Linked DNA regions of Struthio camelus. The protein of the gene in region 2 interacts with the protein of the main gene of each other region in a pairwise test. Links are inferred from orthologs where the notes say so. Each region holds a gene or a part of one and is shown on either strand. Other genes may lie near its edges.

The links.
Region 1: the proteins of C23H1orf216 (region 2) and MYRIP interact in binary tests that used the Homo sapiens proteins (3 or more experiments, as listed by UniProt). The two-hybrid records come from large-scale screens. The link is inferred for Struthio camelus from reciprocal best matches to the Homo sapiens genes C1orf216 and MYRIP.
Region 3: the proteins of C23H1orf216 (region 2) and PSMC6 interact in binary tests that used the Homo sapiens proteins (3 or more experiments, as listed by UniProt). The two-hybrid records come from large-scale screens. The link is inferred for Struthio camelus from reciprocal best matches to the Homo sapiens genes C1orf216 and PSMC6.

Annotation. Positions count from the first base shown.
Region 1 is NC_090943.1:52,216,523-52,222,474, forward strand, and holds the start of MYRIP (rab effector MyRIP), read right to left. Parts: upstream 3,185-5,952; 5' UTR 2,878-3,184; intron 1-2,877. UniProt on the Homo sapiens protein: Rab effector protein involved in melanosome transport. Serves as link between melanosome-bound RAB27A and the motor proteins MYO5A and MYO7A. May link RAB27A-containing vesicles to actin filaments. Functions as a protein kinase A-anchoring protein (AKAP).
Region 2 is NC_090964.1:9,982,693-9,988,644, forward strand, and holds the start of C23H1orf216 (UPF0500 protein C1orf216 homolog), read right to left. Parts: upstream 3,520-5,952; 5' UTR 3,409-3,519; intron 1,978-3,408; 5' UTR 1,962-1,977; coding exon 1,101-1,961; 3' UTR 1-1,100.
Region 3 is NC_090946.1:80,414,478-80,420,429, forward strand, and holds the start of PSMC6 (26S proteasome regulatory subunit 10B), read right to left. Parts: upstream 3,591-5,952; 5' UTR 3,549-3,590; coding exon 3,422-3,548; intron 3,034-3,421; coding exon 2,954-3,033; intron 2,606-2,953; coding exon 2,566-2,605; intron 2,371-2,565; coding exon 2,318-2,370; intron 1-2,317. Other genes in the region: ERO1A (ERO1-like protein alpha), read left to right, coding at 5,513-5,629. UniProt on the Homo sapiens protein: Component of the 26S proteasome, a multiprotein complex involved in the ATP-dependent degradation of ubiquitinated proteins.

The DNA.
Region 1 (5,952 bases), on a different chromosome or scaffold from region 2:
CTAAAAATATAAGATGATGTTCATTTGCTCAAAATGCAGTTTTAAAAAGTGCTGCACAGTATTTTCCTATAAGCATTCTTCAAAAAAGAGGATAATACTTAAATTTCTACTGAAAATGAAAGGCAAAGCGATAACAAACAGGTCACAATCACTAGCCTTCACCATATGAAAGGCAGATCTTGCTAGTGTGTTAGCCACATATAAGGGGTCAAACTCTGTGTAAATTCACATAAAGTTGAGATATGCATCTTTGCTTAATCTCACAAAATTAAACTATGGCTTGAAGTCTTTCCAAATTACACTGTATTTAGTCCTTCTACAAAATTCCCCATCTAAATTTAATCCCGTTTTTGCTGCAGATAGCCCATTTGAGCAATAAGATGGTTTGCTTCCTTCCACGTCAAAGTATAACACACAGTTTATCTTCCTCTCCCCTTGAATCCAATAAGCTTCTTTCAAAACAAAGAATATAAGAAACTCGGCATTGGGAAAGGTTTAAAGCACACTTTAAACAGTATCTTCTGGATGTCAGTGGTTCACAAGTAAACCAGAGACCTCTACTATCTCTAAGAATCTACTTAGTTACTAACCTAGCGAGATCCAAAAGGAAAGTGAACAAAATACTCCATGGAAAGTTGCATTAGTCCACTCAAACGCATTAAGTTTTCTCAAAGAGAAGAATTCTCCCTACGGTTTTCACGGATCTCTGTTTGACTCATTTCTTTCAACTCATCCAACTTTCCAAGGCCAAGTTAAAGTGGTTTATACTGCCAAGCAGTAGTTTCTACTCTGATCACAATAGGGTATATTAATGTTGGCAGCAATATAAAGGAGCCGTATTTTCATACAGATGTACTGTTTATGAACAATAGCGTATTTGTCATGTACTGCTTTTCTTCAGCATTAGCCATGCATGGTTTAGCGAATTTTGTTTTGTTTAAGTACAAGTTCTTCAAGCGTTCTGTTTACTGCAGACATTAAGCAAGAAGGATGAATTCCCACTCGGGTACACCCTAAATAACCCAAAAAGGCTGGTTTAGCAATCGATTGTCAGCATGCTCAACTGTATCAATCATATTACAGTGGAAGCAAGAAACTAAATCAAGAAAAGTAGTAAAAGTTTTAGCCTTAGTTTTGTTTTGCTCTGGAGTGTCATTTTGCATCACTCCTGGAGAGCCCTGGTTAGGATGAAGACAGTCTGTAAAAAAAGCATTAATCTGTCTGAAAGAGTTTTGTATCACAATGCTCAGAAACAGTTTCAAGATGCAGTATTGTCATAGGGGGCAGTGCTCTTCTTGAAGTATCTCTTATTGTGGTGGCGGGGGGGGGGACCGGGATGAAATTGGCTTCTAGGAGTTCTCATACGCAATTAATACATCACAACTGTTGTAAATTCTACTTTCCTGTTCATAACTGACATATGCATTGTAATAAGCTAAAAAACTCCACAGGAAGGCTGTAGAATTGCTGTGTATTTTTTGGACGCTTGGGCATAAGGCATCAGTTCACATGCCCTGATCCAATCCAGTACCTGAATAATAATGGTTACAGTGGCAATTTGAAGGATTAATTACTACAGTATTTCGTGTTTTACAGGGCTCTGTCCACTTTCACAAGCTAGAAGCAGCCAGCAAGCACTACTGTTTGACAGTTACCTGCAGGGGGAGAGTCAGTGGTCTCAACGCAACTTGCAGAGAATTGCTACCACCATTAACGGGCTACTAAAAGAAACTCTTAAACAAATTAAAAAAAAAAAAACTTTCCACCTGATGACACTTCTTTCAAAGCCACAAAAGTGTTTGATAATATTAAATATGAAAACTAAACTCTCTTTCCATCCTTTCTCTCTCTAACCTTCCAGAAAAGGATTGTCAGAAGAACGAGGAAAACCCTCTATTTCCAAAATCCTTACTGTAGCTGTTCTAAAAAAACTCCAGGCTCCAAACAGGTATCCACATTTTCAGAAATAGAGGAAATAGTAAAACGGTCAATATACAGTAAAAAAAATTGTCAATACAGGTTGCTAGATAGCATTAACTGGAAAGGGAGGCACATGCACTCTAAAGCATTTTGTGAGCTAATTTGATTACACTAACTTAAAACATAATGCAAACCACAGCATACAACTCAGTCCTACTTAATTAGATTTCCTAAGACAAGTCAGCCTCAACCATATGGTATTTTCCCCAGAAGTTACAATAAACTGACCTTGATACTAGGAAAACGCATGCTCCTCCGTAAGAGGAATAAATTAAAAGAGCGGAGCCGTGTGATGTTCGCACGGAAAGAAGGCAGAGGCAGCACCACAGAAACGCTATATCGAAACCTTCGGTATTCTCAGAGAAGTTAATCAAGAGTGAAATACTCCATTAGAAAATAATAATAATAATAATAAAGCACTGCAGCGACAGGGCTTGAACAATCAGGCTGATCGCAGGGAGCTACCAAGCTATCTAGGCACCTAGCTGGCAATGAAAATAAGCCTAGCACTTCCCTACGAAGGCATCAAGTCAGTGGGAAGTCGCGACCTGCCTCAGCCCCTCACGCCGCTGTCCCTAAGGGCGGGCGGGGGCCGAGGGCGCCGCCGCCAACGGCCGCCGCCAACGGCCGCGGGACACGGCGCCCGCAGCCCGCCCGGCGCCGCTCCCGCCCGCCGCACACACGCTCCTCCCGCCGCCCCGGAGCAGCGGAGCGGGCGCCGGGCTGCCCCGGGCTCGCTCGCCACACGACCGAGCCCAGACCGGCCCCCATCCCCGCCCGCCGCGCTGCGGCGGGGGCCCTGCCGCAGCCACCCCCCCGGCACGGCCCCGCCGCGGGTGACTCTCCCCCCCGCCGCGTCCCAGCCGGCGGCGGCCGCGCCCCCCGGGCCGTACTCACCCGCGGCCGAAGGCGAGGGCTGCACCAAAACGGAAGGAGGGCAGCAACTCCCCCGCGCTGGGCAGACGGGCAGAGCCACCGCCGGCGGCTGCGGCCGAGCCCGCCCGCCGCTCATTCAGGGCACGGGGGCTGCAGCCGGCCGGCCCGCCCCAAACCGCGCTGCGCCGCGCCGGCCCCTGCCCGCGGCCGGCCACCTGCGCCGAGCTGGCGGCACAGCAGGTGCCTCGCTCCCGCTCCGCGACAGCCCAGAGCCGAGTCTTGTCTCGTCTTGTCACGTCCTGCCTGCTCCGCTCCGCTCCGCTCCGCGCCTCTCCTCCCCGCCGGACGCGCCACCGGGCTGCTGCGGCGGTGGCGGCGGCGCCAGCTCCCGCCGCGCCCCCAGCCGCGCACCGGCACCTGGCCGGGCGCCGCCGGCCAATCGGCGCGGAGGGGCGGGGCCAAGGGCGGCCGAGCGGGGAGCAGGGGCGGTGCGGGGCGGTGCGGTGCGCGAGGGCAGCCTTGCCCGCCCGCCCGCTCGCGGTGGAGGGGGGTGGGCAGCGCCGAGCCGCGCCGCTGCCCCAGTCGGTCGGGAGCGGGGACGAGTGCTGACGCAGCGAGCCTGCTGCCACGGACCGGAGAGGAGGGTCGGACCCGGCTCGGCCCGGCCCGGCCCCGGGAGCCCCTTGGATGCGGGTGCGGCTTCGGTGGAGAGCTGCGTCACGGCCGCGGCCCCGCGTGCCGGGCGGCCGTTGGGGCTGAGGCGGCCGTTGGCCGTTAGCGCAACGAAGCCGGCCGGGGAGAACACCCGGAAAGCGGGTTTTTGGGTTTTTTTTTGTCCTCCCCCCTTCCTCTTCCATTTCATTTTTCTAGCTAGTGGTATGAAGAGGAGCCCAAATGTTTATCACGGTGTCAGTCCTCTCCCTGGTGGCACTGCCGTGGCGAGTCAACTGGAACAGGGCTCTGCCTGTTAAACTAACAGTAGCCCGGAGGAAAGGATCGTTGCAGGTTCAGGGGAGGCTGCAGGAGGGAGAAAAGACTCTTCAACATGGCCTGGCCATGCCCATTTTAGTCACCTGGATGATGTAGGCCGTACGTGCTGCTTATGAAATGGATTTGTGATGGATCCTGCAATCTCAGAATAATGGCAGTAATAAGGGCTAATTTGCTGCATCATTAGACAGGTGTAGATCCAATTACTATGCCTTTACTTGTTTAAATATTTGTAAATCCTTAGTGCTCGTTCCTTAAAAAAGCATTTGGTGTGGCATACCCTCGCCTCTATGTATTGCCCATATAAAAACAGTAACGAGAATCCCTCCAACTCTGGAGGGTGCCCGCGGGTCAGCAGTGGCAATGGCCCTGCTATGGCTTAGCATGGCATCTTAAAGGATACCTAATTATGTCACAAACATACATTCAAAATCTTTACAAAGCAGCATTGGCAGCTCGTCCTTGAAGAAGATGCTCGTTCTCCAGATAAAGCAGAGAAACAAATAGATGCTGCCAGGCATACTTGTTTGAGTCTTACAGTGGATACCGTATGCAGGCCATGTGTGGAGGTGTCTCCTAAAGGAAAAGGAGACCAGTTGGTACAAACTGACAAGAATTAGTGCCATATGGATTCAGAGCACTGGATAATCATAATGAAGGTGTGGCCTGGTCATTCATTCACATGATCAGTGAGTCACCGCTGTAATTTCACCATGCTTTTTATACATCCTGTATCACTGCAGATTGTACTGTATCAGACTAATTACTTTTCCTACGGTGTTATTTTTCATCCCTGTTTTTCATGCTTGTTTAACTTTATTTTAAAATAGCTGCAGCTGTTCACTGCAAGGTACATTTTTATTTGATCTTAGTTGAAGTGCTTTGTCAAGGCAGATGTATTCAGTAAATCTTGGCAGGTTTTCAAGGAAAATATTTTCTAGGAGAATATTTTTGTTTACATTAATTTTATGGTATTACAAATAAAGTAGTTTATCAAACATTTAGTTCTATGCTAATCTACACTTGTCTGTGTTACTAAAATGGGTACCAATCTGTGAGGTAGACACCAAATTTATTTCAAAGGTGTGTGTAAAAAAAAGATTTACCAAATATTCTTCATCAAATTGTTTGTATTTCCCAAACGTACACTTACCCACATACATACTTGGGTATTTCCTAAATAGAAACACTTGTTACTTCTTTAAATAAAAATTACAGAAAGAACCAATCATCTTCAACAGTAGCATTTTTCAAGTGCAACATGACATGGCAACAAATCATCCACTAACTAAAACTAAAGGTCACTCATTGCCTCTATTAGAAGAGTAATCAATAACATGCCCCCAGCATTTTTAATGACTGAAAAAATACCTGAGCAGAAATCAATCTTCAATCTTCTAGCTGAATTACTGAAAGAAGAATATGTTTTAAAATCAGGCATCATTATGAATTAAATATAATGTTTATGATTACACAACCATCAGATCAAACAGGTAGAATTGTGCCATCACTCCTCATACACAAGTTAATAAGCTAATTTCAGGCTGAATTCAGGAATAATTTTTCACCTTTGCTTGAATATTCTGCAGCTAGGTAAATGGATATTTTTTCCTTTTTTTTTTACATGATATTTCATGTTCAGCTCCGTGGGAGATGAAATGTTGGACTATAGGCTCCTTTGTTCCATGCCAGTATAGTAATTGGTATGTTTTTACTATGCAACATTACTCCATGGGGAAGGTATTAACTTATACCACACTTAAACAGCCGTTAGCAAATGAAAGAGTACAACTAGGAGAGGGAAAAGAGAAACAACAAAGCACAAGTGAGGAATGGTAATAGCCTTGGGGGTAGTACACTGGACTTTTATATTTGTCTGCATTTCAGATCTGGATATCCCATCTGTGGTCATCTGATGTTTTTGGTGTCCCACTTCTAAAGAAATCAACTTCTCTTTGCATCAGTAATAAGTATTTTCTGATGGATGTTATTCACAGTAAAAAAGAAAAAAAAAAATGACCACAATCGCTTTTTCACTCCTATAGTCAAAGTATAAGGCATTGATGGGTGAAAGAGGTACACCAGACTTGCCCTAAAATCATATAT
Region 2 (5,952 bases):
TGTTGCCAGACGGACCTCTGCACTCGGAGCGCGTTGCAGGGGGCTGCAGACCGCGGTCCGGAGCATCTGCCGCTCAGCCGCACGCGCGGGGCTCGCCGGCACGGTCAGTCTGCTTCGCGCGAAGCCCCGGCGCGAGGCGCGAGACGAGCGCGGGCTCGGGGTGCAGGCTTTCCGTGGCCGGGATCACGCGCAGGAACGGACAGCAGCCGCGCGAGCCGCCGCCGGAGGAGCCCCCTCGCAAGGCGCTGGCCCCCTGCTCGGGCCCAGGAAGATTTGGACCAGGGAAGGGGTTCAGCTTCGCGTGGATTCTCCCAGACGTTCTCTCCCTCCTTTATCAGGTGTTTGGGGGAGGGTTACTGGTACTAGCAGGAGGGAAGAGACAAGTGGGAGAAGAAGGAATTTTTTCAAAGTGCCCTAATTAACTTGGTGGCCTTGGCAGTGCCCTGGCCACGTCCAGCTGCTGCCCAGGAGCAGCTGGGGCCATCCCAGGACTTCCTTGCCCAGGCTCCAGCCTGGGGATGGGTCTTCCTAGACAACCCTTCCTGAGGTGGCAGAGCTACAGCAAAGGGATGAAATGAACTCCTATTTTAAATGCTCAAACAAAGAACGCTAATTTAGATTTAAAAGATGAGTCTCAGCATCGCAGAGTCAGCAAATCCGGGTGCATCGAGGTCCCCAGCGCAGTGTTGCACAAGCCCCTAGACCTAGCGGCACACAGGGCGGAGGACCCCGAGCTGCAGCTGGTCGGTGCAGCAGCCAAACAGCTGGTACTTGCCCGTCAGCAGCTGGGTGGAAAAGGAAGTGTTGGAGAAGTTGAGATGAAAAGTCATTAAAAAGGGTCCTGTAACGTCGGAAGGACCATGTGCTGCCAGGGCCCATGGAAACGCTGGGTGGCATCTGCTGTGCAGTGTCTTCATGCTTCATGGAAACCGGGACAGGGAGAGGCCACAGGAGCCCACAGCTCGCATCTTTATAAAGCCTCCCAAGCAAAACCTGGCCCCGGGCCCCATCGCGGAGGGCAAGCACCAGGAGACGCTCCTTGCGGCCGGGGAGAGGGGAGCGGTGTGAATCCCAGAAGAGATGGCGCGGGGCTGCGGGGCTCACAGCCCGGGGCAGCCCGCGTCGCCGGGGCACGCCAGGCCTTGCTGGATGTAGCGGATGAGCTCCTTGCGGTTGTCCAGGATGGTGTCGAAGCTCTCCTGCAGCCGGTTCTGCTGGTCCACGACCTTCTGCTGGAGGCCGTGGATCCAGCGCAGCAGTGCCAAGCGCCGATACATCACCAGCTGGATGTGGTGCTTCTCCTTCTCGCGCTCCTTGAACTTCTCCTTGTCCTGGATGTGCTGGAAGGCCTCCGCCAGCGCTGGGAAGAGGGTGTCTGGGTTAGGGCAGGTCTCCGTCTCGGCGTCGGCCACCCCAGGCTCTGACGGGCTCTTCTGGATGTGGGCAGCGGCGGGAGGCTCCCAGGTGCTCCCGGAGACGCTGTCGGGGCTGTCGATGCTGAGGGAGCTGCTGGCGTAGCCGTTGTCCTCCGCGGGGGAGCTCAGGGGCTTCCTGCACTCCTTGGCTGTGTCCTCCGTGGCCGCTTTCTCGTCCCCCGGCCCGCCGACCTCCGCTCCCTCGGGGGGGCTCCGCACACCCGCGCCCAGACACACTTGGTCTCCTTTCAGGCTCTGGGCGGCATCCCTAAGCCTGCCCTGAACCATCTGTCTCTGCATTAATAACAGCAGATTATCCGATGGATTTGTCATGTTTTCGCTCTGGCTGGAGCCTTCGTCCGTTCTGGTCCCCGGCGCTGGCTGGCTCCAGTTCTCGTTGCGGTCGTACACCCCCCCCACGAAGTTGAAATTGGTGTCTTGCCTGCGCTCCCCGTCCCCCAGGAAGGCTGTGCCCAGCGTGGGGTCTCGCTGGCCCTCGTGGAAGGGGGCGTTCGAGGCGAGGTCGGGCTGGCAAACAGCAAACATCTTCCTGGCCTCCTGCCTGCAAAAGAGACCCCGAGATGTGATGGCCGCGGAGGGAGCTCTTCCCCCAGCTGGGGCAGCCAGGCCTCCAAGGCCGTGCGGCGGCACGCGGGTTCGCCGGCCGGCGTGACCAGAGCTGGCTGTTGAGCTATGGCAAGAGAAAATAGTCTCTTACTTTATTTGCCTTTCTTTAACCCTGATGAACCCACCTGCTCGAGGCAGAAGGGCTTTTCCCTCTCCCTGCTGCTGCTCTCAGCGTGCCCCCAGGCTAGAAACCCCAAGTCTTCCCAGGGCAAATTCTCATGCGACGCGGAAGCGAGGAGCCCGGCCTTGGGGGCAGTCACCCGCCACCATTTCTCTGCTCCCTGTGAACTCTAGCCCGAAACCAAGCTTTTACGGCTTCCTTTTTGTGATCGTTACGGGGCATTGCAGGGAGCAGGCACGCCGCCGACACGCTCTCCTCCAGCAGCGGCTTGTGTTGCATGCAATTATTTCTGCACCTATAGAGGCTTGTTTGGAAGGAGCTGCTTCTCCAACAGCAATAAAATCTGCTGTGAAGCATTGGCATTGCTTGGTAAATCAGGGACCCGAGCACAGTCTGCTTTGACCTGGGGTGTTCCCAGGGCTGGGCAGCAGTGTCGGGCACCCCTCGGTGGATTTTGGCCATGGGATGTGCCAGATCCACCGGGACCCAGCTGACCCGGTGGGGCCCCATCTCGGAGCATGCAGGGATCCTCCTCCCCCCAGGTCTGGTGGAGGAGAAAAGCCTTCCAGAAACTGCACGTCGCAGGATTAAAAACCATGTCCCTCTTTGGAGACGGCCTGTCCTGCCTTTCGGGGTGGCTGCAGAGCCCCCAGGCCCCCTCCCGCCGTCCCGGCTAGGGGCCGGGGGGAAGGAGCAGCCGTCAGTGCCTCTGCCCGCAGCCACGGCGGCGCCTGGGTGCGCTCAGCTCTGCCACCGGAGGAAGAAAACGCAAGGGAGGAAAAAGAAAAAAACCCGCAGCAGGGAGAGGGCTCTAGCGCACGCAGTAGCGCAGCCAGGGAAGGGGAGGACGGCGGCACAGCTGCGATCAGGACTGTGAGACCGCAGAATTCGCGGCCCCAGGCTGGGCCGGCGGGGACGACCCCGCCGCCCGCCCCGCGCTGCCCGCTGCCGCCCGCCAGGGAGAGCGGAGCGAGCGCGTGTGCGCGCACACGGGCACGCAGCCCGGCAAGCGCGGGGGGCTCGGGTGTCCGCGCCGCGCGGGGACACGGCGGCTGCGGTGATGGGGGGGGGGGGGTTTCTCGCTGATCTTTGCAAGGCTGCAGCCGTCAGCGAGCGAAAGGAGCAGCCTCCATCAGAGGGAGCCGAACGTGGCACCCGGCTGCCGTGCCCAGCCCACGCGCCGACCCGCCGCCGGCCGCCGCGGCCCCCGCCGGCCACGGCCGCCCCCTCGCAGCACGCACTCACCGCCGGGGCCCGGCGCGGGCGGGAGGCAGGCAGAGCGCTCGGGCTGCACCTCCGGCCGCCGCCGCTGCAGCTCAGCCGGCGAGGACGGAAATGGTCCCTCGCAGGGCAGCAGGAAAGCGTCATGCGCTGCACGCTTCCTCCGGCGCGCCGTGCCGCCCGGCCGCAGGCCTGCAGCCCGGCCGCCGCTCGCGCCTCGGCACGAGGCGGCCCGGGGCCACGCGGCCGCCCGCGACGTCCCGCCGCCCCCCGGCCGGTCTCCCGGGATGCGCCAAAAATCCTGCGGGAGAGGAGCTGCTGGGGGTGTGGGGATGCGGGACCCCCTGCAAGCAGCAGCTGCCCTGGGGACCCTGCACAGCCCCATGGGGACCCTGCCAGCCCTATGGGGACCCTGCACAGCCCCATGGGGACCCGGCCATCCCCCTGGGGACCCTGACAGCCCCCTGGGGAACCTGCACAGCCCCCTGGGGACCCGGCCATCCCCCTGGGGACCCTGACAGCCCTATGGGGACCCTGCACAGCCCCATGGGGACCCTGCCAGCCCTATGGGGACCCTGCACAGCCCCATGGGGACCCGGCCATCCCCCTGGGGACCCTGCCAGCCCCCTGGGGAACCTGCACAGCCCCCTGGGGACCCGGCCATCCCCCTGGGGACCCTGACAGCCCTATGGGGACCCTGCCAGCCCCCTGGGGACCCTGCCAGCCCCATGGGGACCCTGCCAGCCCTCTGGGGACCCTGCACAGCCCCCTGGGGACCCGGCCATCCCCCTGGGGACCCTGCCAGCCCTCTGGGGACCCTGCACAGCCCCCTGGGGACCCGGCCAGCCCTCTGGGGACCCTGCACAGCCCCATGGGGACCCTGCCAGCCCCCTGGGGACCCTGCACAGCCCTCTGGGGACCCTGCACAGCCCCGTGAGGACCCTGCCAGCCCCCTGGGGACCCGGCCAGCCCTCTGGGGACCCTGCACAGCCCCATGGGGACCCTGCCAGCCCCCTGGGGACCCTGCACAGCCCTCTGGGGACCCTGCACAGCCCCGTGAGGACCCTGTCAGCCCCCTGGGGACCTGGCCAGCCCCCTGGGGAACCTGCACAGCCCCTGGGGACCCTGCCAGCCCTATGAGGACCCTGCACAGCCCCTGGGGACCCCACACAGCCCCATGGGGACCCTGCCAGCCTTTTGGGGACCCTGCCAGCTCCCTTAGGACCCTGCACAGCCCCTTGGGGACCCTGCTTACCCCATGGGGACCCTGTACAGCCCGATGGGGACCCCGCACAGCCCCGTGGGGACCCTGCCAGCCCCCTGGGGACCCTGCACAGCCCCTGGGGACCCCACACAGCCCCATGGGGACCCTGCTTGCCCCATGGGGTCCTTGCACAGCCCGATGGGGACCCTGCACAGACCCGTGGGGACACTGCCAGCCCTGTAGGGACCCTGCACAGCCCCTTGGGGACCCTGCACAGCCCCGTGGGGATGCTGCCAGCCCGATGGGGACCCTGCACAGCCCCGTGGGGACCCTGCCAGCCCCGTGAGGACCCTGCCAGCCCTGTAGGGACCCTGCCAGCCCTCTGGGGACCCTGACAGCCCCCTGGGGACCCTGCCAGCCCTCTGGGGACCCGGCCACCCCCATGGGGACCCTGCACAGCCCAGTAGGGACCTGGCCAGCCCCATGGGGTCCCTGCCAGCCCTCTGGGAACCCTGCCAGCCCTATGGGGACCCTGTCAGCCCCATGGAGACCTTGCACAGCCCTCTGGGAACCCTGCACAGCCCTATGGGGACCCTGCCAGCCCTCTGGGGACCCTGCACAGCCCCTTGGGGACCTTGCACAGCCCAATGGGGACCCTGTCAGCCCCTTAGGGACCCTGCACAGCCCCTTGGGGACCCCACACAGCCCCGTGAGGACCCTGCACAGCCCCTTGGGGACCCTGCCAGCCCGTGGGGAGTGCTGCGGCCTCAGGAGCTGCCCGGGCTCCATCTCCCCTCCGCCGGCTCCCCGCGGGGCGGCGGGCACAGCGGCGCCTCGCTCTCAAAGGGACCTTTATTCCCCACGTGGCGACCCGGGGTGTCTGCGAGCTCCGAAACGAAAAGCCGCAGCAACATCAGACGGCTCGCAGGGGCGGCGGGCCGGGCGAGCGGGGTCACATGCGGCACCACGAGCGGCGCGCGGCGCCGGCGGGGCGAGGGGTCATCGCTCCCTCTTCCTCCACCGCGCTGCAAAGCTTCGGCTGCGCGGTAACGGCTGCAGTAACGATAACTAGGCTCTTCCAGCTTGCCGTCCGTCCAGCGGGCCACCGGCCACCGCGCGCCGCCGGCTCCGCGCGGCTCCCGCCCCCGGCAGCAGGGACCGCGGCCCGGGCACGGCGCGGGCTGCACGAGATTAGAAAAAAGTTATACTAACTCTCATCACAGAAGGAAGCGAGAGTCCAACTCGGACCCTTCCGTGAAGGGGCGGCAAAGGTGAAGCGGCTGGGCAGGCGGCCGGCTCGGCTTTGCCCCGCTCGCCGCGCAGCTCCCCGCGGCAGCCTCGCCGTAGCCCTTTGCTGTGCGTGG
Region 3 (5,952 bases), on a different chromosome or scaffold from region 2:
TTTAAATTTAAACACTATTTCTCCCCTTCCTCAGCAGACTCACACAGCATAAGAACTTTCATCAATAACTAGCTCCATTAGGCTGCCAGAGAGAGACACTATAGGAAGTTATTTGCCTTGATATTTTATCATTTTGAAAAGCAATTGCAAATGTGTTTTTGAATCTCTGGTATCAAATCAAGGATCTTTTAAGATCAAAGAGTGTTTTTATTCAAGAATAAATTCAAAAGTATGCGCTACAGGCTCAGACTTATCCAAGCACGAGCACTGCTCTCTGTTCCAACGTACAGCCTCAGGAACACCTCATCAGACCTATCACATGCCCAAACATAGGAGTAAGTGTCCTTATATTCTCAGGAAAATATTTTGTTTGTTCTGCTGAAGGAAAACAGAGAATTTGAACTATAAGATACCGAAAGAGATGAAGCTTAAAATTATGCCTTCTCAGTACTAGCAGTTCTTGCAGGTAAGGAATGTTTCATACAAGCTCAGATGCACCACATCAGTACGCTCAAGAGAAGTCAAGGATATCTGGACACATATACTAAACACACACACACTCTTGACACCCACACTGCCCAAATAGTTTGTTTCTAAAAGGAGGAGAAAAGGTCCATCTTTCCTGCAAAAGACATGATCCACTGACAGGAGTCAACACCATGGGAAAAAAACGCATAAGCGCCACAATGTTAAGTTTTGATAATTGTGGGCCTTCACCAGAAATTCTTCTGATAGTTAGAACTTCTTTTTTTCTAATGCTTTCAAGCATAACCGGCTCCACCTCTGCCACTTCCTTGTTGCCTCTCAACTCCTCCTACAGTCCTCACAACTCCATTGTGCATGCATCATCTAAATATACTTGGTTAGCTTTGCTATATTGTTCTATTGCACTGTTTTTCAGTTTAGCTTTATATATGAAAATCAGTCTGGAGAATCTGAGTACCGCAGAACATTCACATGAGTCTTGTGAACACGTTTTCCTTCTTTGCATAGAATCAGTAGCAGCTCAAAATTCAAAAGTGAAGATCACAGTTTCTCCTCAAAAAGAGAAAGAAAAGCCACCTCTAACACCAGTACTACATCTCAATACACCTCTTATTGAGCAAAGTTCCTCATACTTCAGAATTTCTGTTATACGGGAGAATATGCTACAATCACGACGTATCAGAAGTGCAGTTGCAGTTACCTCTCCCTACAGTAAAGGGGTCAATTAAAGATGGATTAAGAAGTCACCGCTGTTAAAGACACACTTACTTGTGCATTGAAATAAATAAATAAAATATTGCTGCCTTCTCAGAGAACTGAGAAACGATCCTTTCCTGCTGTTGCTACTCTCTATTCAGAGAGTACCTCACTTCATACACATTTTTCTTTGCTTCCATTTCTCAAAGTCAGGGATGAGTCTATTAAAACCTAACTAGAGAATCACTTTCACGCCCCCAGTGGCTCTGCAGCTGCAGAAAACTTCATTAGATATTGTGGTTCCTATTTAATAGACAGTTTTGGTAAGAAGTAGCTTATCTAAGGTGCTGCAATTACTATAAATGGGCCACATTAAACGGTCAATTAACCAACAAGCCATTCTTAAATTCTGTGTGTTTGCAATATATCACTTGTACTTTTATAGAAAAGTAAAAAACACAGACTACCTCTAAGCTGGTTCTTGCTGACTGCACCAGAAAATGGATTATTTTGTAAGCAAGGTTCTATGAAGTGTCAAATTCCCACAGATTTTAAGGTAGATAGAAGAGATATTGCCCTGTAAACTACAAGCACCATGTTTCTGTAAGATCATTAAAGACCAAAAAAAAAAAAAAAAAAGCTCTCACAAAGCTTACAAAGCTTTGTATAACAGGGGCCTTACCTACCGTAAGTATTCATTCAACTGGAGTGCAAAAGCATTAGAAAAATACACAGTTACATAAAGAGAGATAGAGAGATAACGTTAGATGCAAAGCATTGCACTACAACAGCAACGTTTAATGAAGAGAAAGTCACAAAACAGCAGGGGAGACCTTAGACAGTTTGAAGTCATGACAAACAATTTTCAAACAGTTTAAAATGAGGCAGAAAGAAAGAGCTTGGACTTGATGAGAAGGATAAACGCATGCAGTGTTTTGGACTGTTTTATCCTTACTAGGAAGTTATGCCACTACCACTTAGGAAGGGAAAGGGGAAACAGATATTAGTGGAATATAGCCAGAAACAGCATAAAGAAGACGACACTTAATCCCACTAGCAGCACAGCTGATCAAAAGCAACGTTAATATTAAAGATCAGAAGAAACTCTTTACGAATATTCACATAAACTAGCTACCTGACGACGACAGCCAACCACATATCTTGGTCCATTTGTAGCCTTCACAATGACTAGAGAGAGAAGATTTAAAAAAAAAAAGTTTAGTCACTGCTTTCAATTACACTTCTAAAGTATATTATGTTTTTCTGCCAACATACAGATCACTGGCACTTTTAATTCCTCATTCTTTGAGCTCTTTAGCCAAGTTTTAACTGCAAAAGCTTATTTTCAAGATTTCAAAGAATATAACTGTCCAACGTACTTACATTTCTCTTCTGTTAGCTGTTTAAGAACCTCACCAACAATCTGCAAAAGAATAAATGAAGTATTAGCACACAGGTAAGTGACAGTCGCAAAAGAATGTTTAACATATGCCACAATCTCAATGCTGATAGTTATATTCCATATCCTTTCCCCTGCTTCAAGTTGCCTACCTGGACTTTCATTTCTTTAACGTATCTCTGCTAAACAAGACACAGAGAGAAAACCTCTCCACCTATGATTGTCCCTGATGATAAGACACCTGTTTCTGTTAGCTACGCTGTTGCCACTTATTCTTTCCGTTGCCACAAACGGCCTTAAGAACTGCTGTTTCCAGGCGAGTTCCCTGTCACCACCACCACACGTAGCTACGGCCTTGTTTCTCTTACATACCTGCCCGACGCTCTGCAAGGCCTTGAGATCGTTTTCTGACTTTTCATATTGCTTGGTGAGCTCTTTCAGCTGTTCCCTCACTTAAAAAAAAAAAAAAGAGAGAGAGAGAGAGAGAGAGAAGCACATGATTTTGCTGACTTTCAATCCAGCAGGAGCGGTCCCGTTGACAGCGGCAGAAGCGCGGCGGGCAGAGCCAGGCTGGGGGCTACCCGCACCCCCCACAAGCCCCCGCTCGGGGACTCCCCTTACTGAAAAAGGCCCTGCAGAAGAGGGCTAAAAATCCCTTTCGGGATTTAAAACGCCCAAAAGCAAAGGGCTCGGTGCCTCTAGGGGACGTTGCCCCCCCCCAGCGCTGCCCCGGGCCAGGCCCATGACGAAGCGCGGGCAGCGGCGCGGACCCCTGAGGCGCCGGGCGGCGGCGAGTCTCTGGGCGGCCCCCGCGGCGGCGGCAGCGGCGGCGGCGCTCACACTCCTTGAGGCGGCCGTCGATCTCCTTGTGCTCCAGGAGCTTCTTGCGGTAGTCCTGCAGCGCCTTGTCTCTCGGGTCCGCCATGATGAGCAGCCGCCGCTCATAGGGAATGCCGGGAAGGGCCATGGCCGCCGGGGGCAGGGCCGCGCGCCCGCCCCGCCCCGCCCCGCCCCCGCGCCTCGCGCGCGCGCGCCCGTGACCGCCCTCCCCCCCCCCTCACCTCACCCACCCCCTCCCACGCGGCCTCCGCGCGCCGCAGCGGCCCCTGTCGCCGCGGAGGGGGAAGCGGCGGCCGGCTCCTGCGCATGCGCATAAGGAGGGGGGGAAGGGCGGACGGTCGGTCCTGGCGCATGCGCGCGGCAACGGGCGGCGCTGCGCGTGCGCCGCGCGGGGCGCGCGGCCGTCGTCAGGCGGGCGGAGCCCGCGCTTGCGTGTGGTGTTGGGCGGCCGCCGCGCTCCGCCGGGCCGAACCCACGCGGAACCCACGCGGAACCCACGCAGCCTCGCTCTTCTGGCATCGCCGGCAGGACGGGGCTGCGGCAGGGCGCCGCGAAAAGCGGGCAGCGGCGGGGAAGCCGCCCCAGGGTGGCGGCGGAGGGTGGGGGGTGGGGTGGAGGCCTCAGCGGCCGCCTCCTGCCGCTGCTCCCGCCCTGCGTGGGTAGCTCCGGTCCGGGCAGCGCTCGCGTTGAACCTCCCTCCCCAGCCCCGGCAGCGCCCCGGTGCCTGCCCTGAGTTACGCCCGGGGCTAAATCTGCTAGGACGGCCCCAGACAATCGCTCTCCGCGGTCATCGTTCTAGTATTCCTGAGGAAAGGCAGTTTCCTCCAATGTCCTGGGCTGTTGGGGATCTCTGATGCGGTCAGGGGAAAAGTGGGGGCTGTGTTATCCACAATCAGACTGTAAATTCACTCAGTTGAATTAGCAGTGTTTTCTTTTTAACGCCGACCAGCATGAGTTTACAGATGAAGGCCTTGCTGAGTTGCTTACAGGAATACTGCACGGTGCGGATAACAGGAAGCAGTGAGCAACTGGGGCTAGTGAAAACCAGAGCATCCTAAAACGTTTCTTGCGCAGGGAAAATAGGGATAAAAAACACCATGCGTTTTGTGAGGAAACTGGTCAACTCATTGGGGAAAAAAGGAAACTGCCGTCGGCCAGAGCTGCGGGGCTCCTTCTCCCTCTGTCTCCACGTTAAATACCCTCATCTTCCCGCAGTTCTTTCAGGATTGCTCCAGAGTCCATTCAGGCAGCGAAGGACTGGGAGGAAGGGATGCACCATTAGCAGTATCTCCCCTAACCCTGGAGCAGGTCCACCACCCCTTGCTTGATGCCCTACAGAAAACAGACTGTGGCCACTGAAACAAAAGGACCAAGTCTGGCTTAAATCTTTCCTCTGGGGGTGGGGAAATACACATAAATAGAGAGGGCTCTGCTTTGTGCGGTGATGATAGGAGGCAGAACTTGGCCAGGGAGAGCCCTTGAAGGCGGCTGTTTAGAGCACGGGGTCTTACATGCCCGTGCCCGATCTTCTGTCTCGCGGAGCAGGCAAGGGGACAGTTGCAAGACCTAAACCGCAGGAACTGAGCCCCTGAAGTGGTTCCTGTAGTCTGAGCGCAGGATGAAGAGCCAGCCACACGCTCTGAGATACGTGGCAACGGATCGTCATCTCGGCCAAGCAAAACAGGCCCCCTGTGCGCGCCTGAAGGGGAGCGCGGATCCGAAAGCAGGCACCGAGCTCCAGACCTGCAGCCCGAGAGGGCGCCTGACTCCCGCTGCCCGGCAAACCTGTACGGATCGGGGCTACCGGCCCGCCTTTCACGGAGCCGATCCCGTTTGCGGGCGCTGAGTCAGGACGGGGCCACCTGAGGCCGGTACACGTGAGCCACGTCCTGCGCCGACCGGCGCTGCCCTCGCCTCTCGTCCCGGCGGTGGAGGGCTGCGCGGCTCCCCGCGCCCCTCCTCGCCGGCCGGGCTGCGTGCGGCGCGGCGCGTAGCCGCCGGCGGCCGCGCCCCCGGCCAGGGGCGGGCCGAGCCGCCGCTTCTTCTGCCGGCGGCGGCGGCGGCGGAGGGCGGGTTGCCGTGCGCGGCGAGATGGCGGCGGGTCGAGGGCTGCGGGCGCCGGGTTTCGCCGCCTTCCTGCTGCTCCTGCTGTTGCAGTCGCCCCCCGCGCTGCCCCGCGGGGCGGCCGAGCGCCGCTGCTTCTGCCAGGTGGGACGGCACCGGGCGGCGGGAGGGGTGGGCAGCCCCCCCCGCCCTGCTCCTCGGCTCCCTGCTAGCCGCGTCCGCCGGCGGAGATGGGTGTTTGGGCAGCTGGTTTGGAACCAGGTGTCCCCAACCAGGAGATGGGGGTCAAGGAGCTGGGCGCAGGGAATGGTTGCTGCGCGGGTTCCTCTTGGCTTGACTTCGCACGAGCAGGCGTGCGCGATCAAGGAATGAAGATGGCACGGTGTGTTTAGCACTTTATTTTTGTTGTCCTTTTAAGAAAGGACGCTATTGTAAAGCGTAGTCTTGCGGTGTTACGGTTCCGGTGC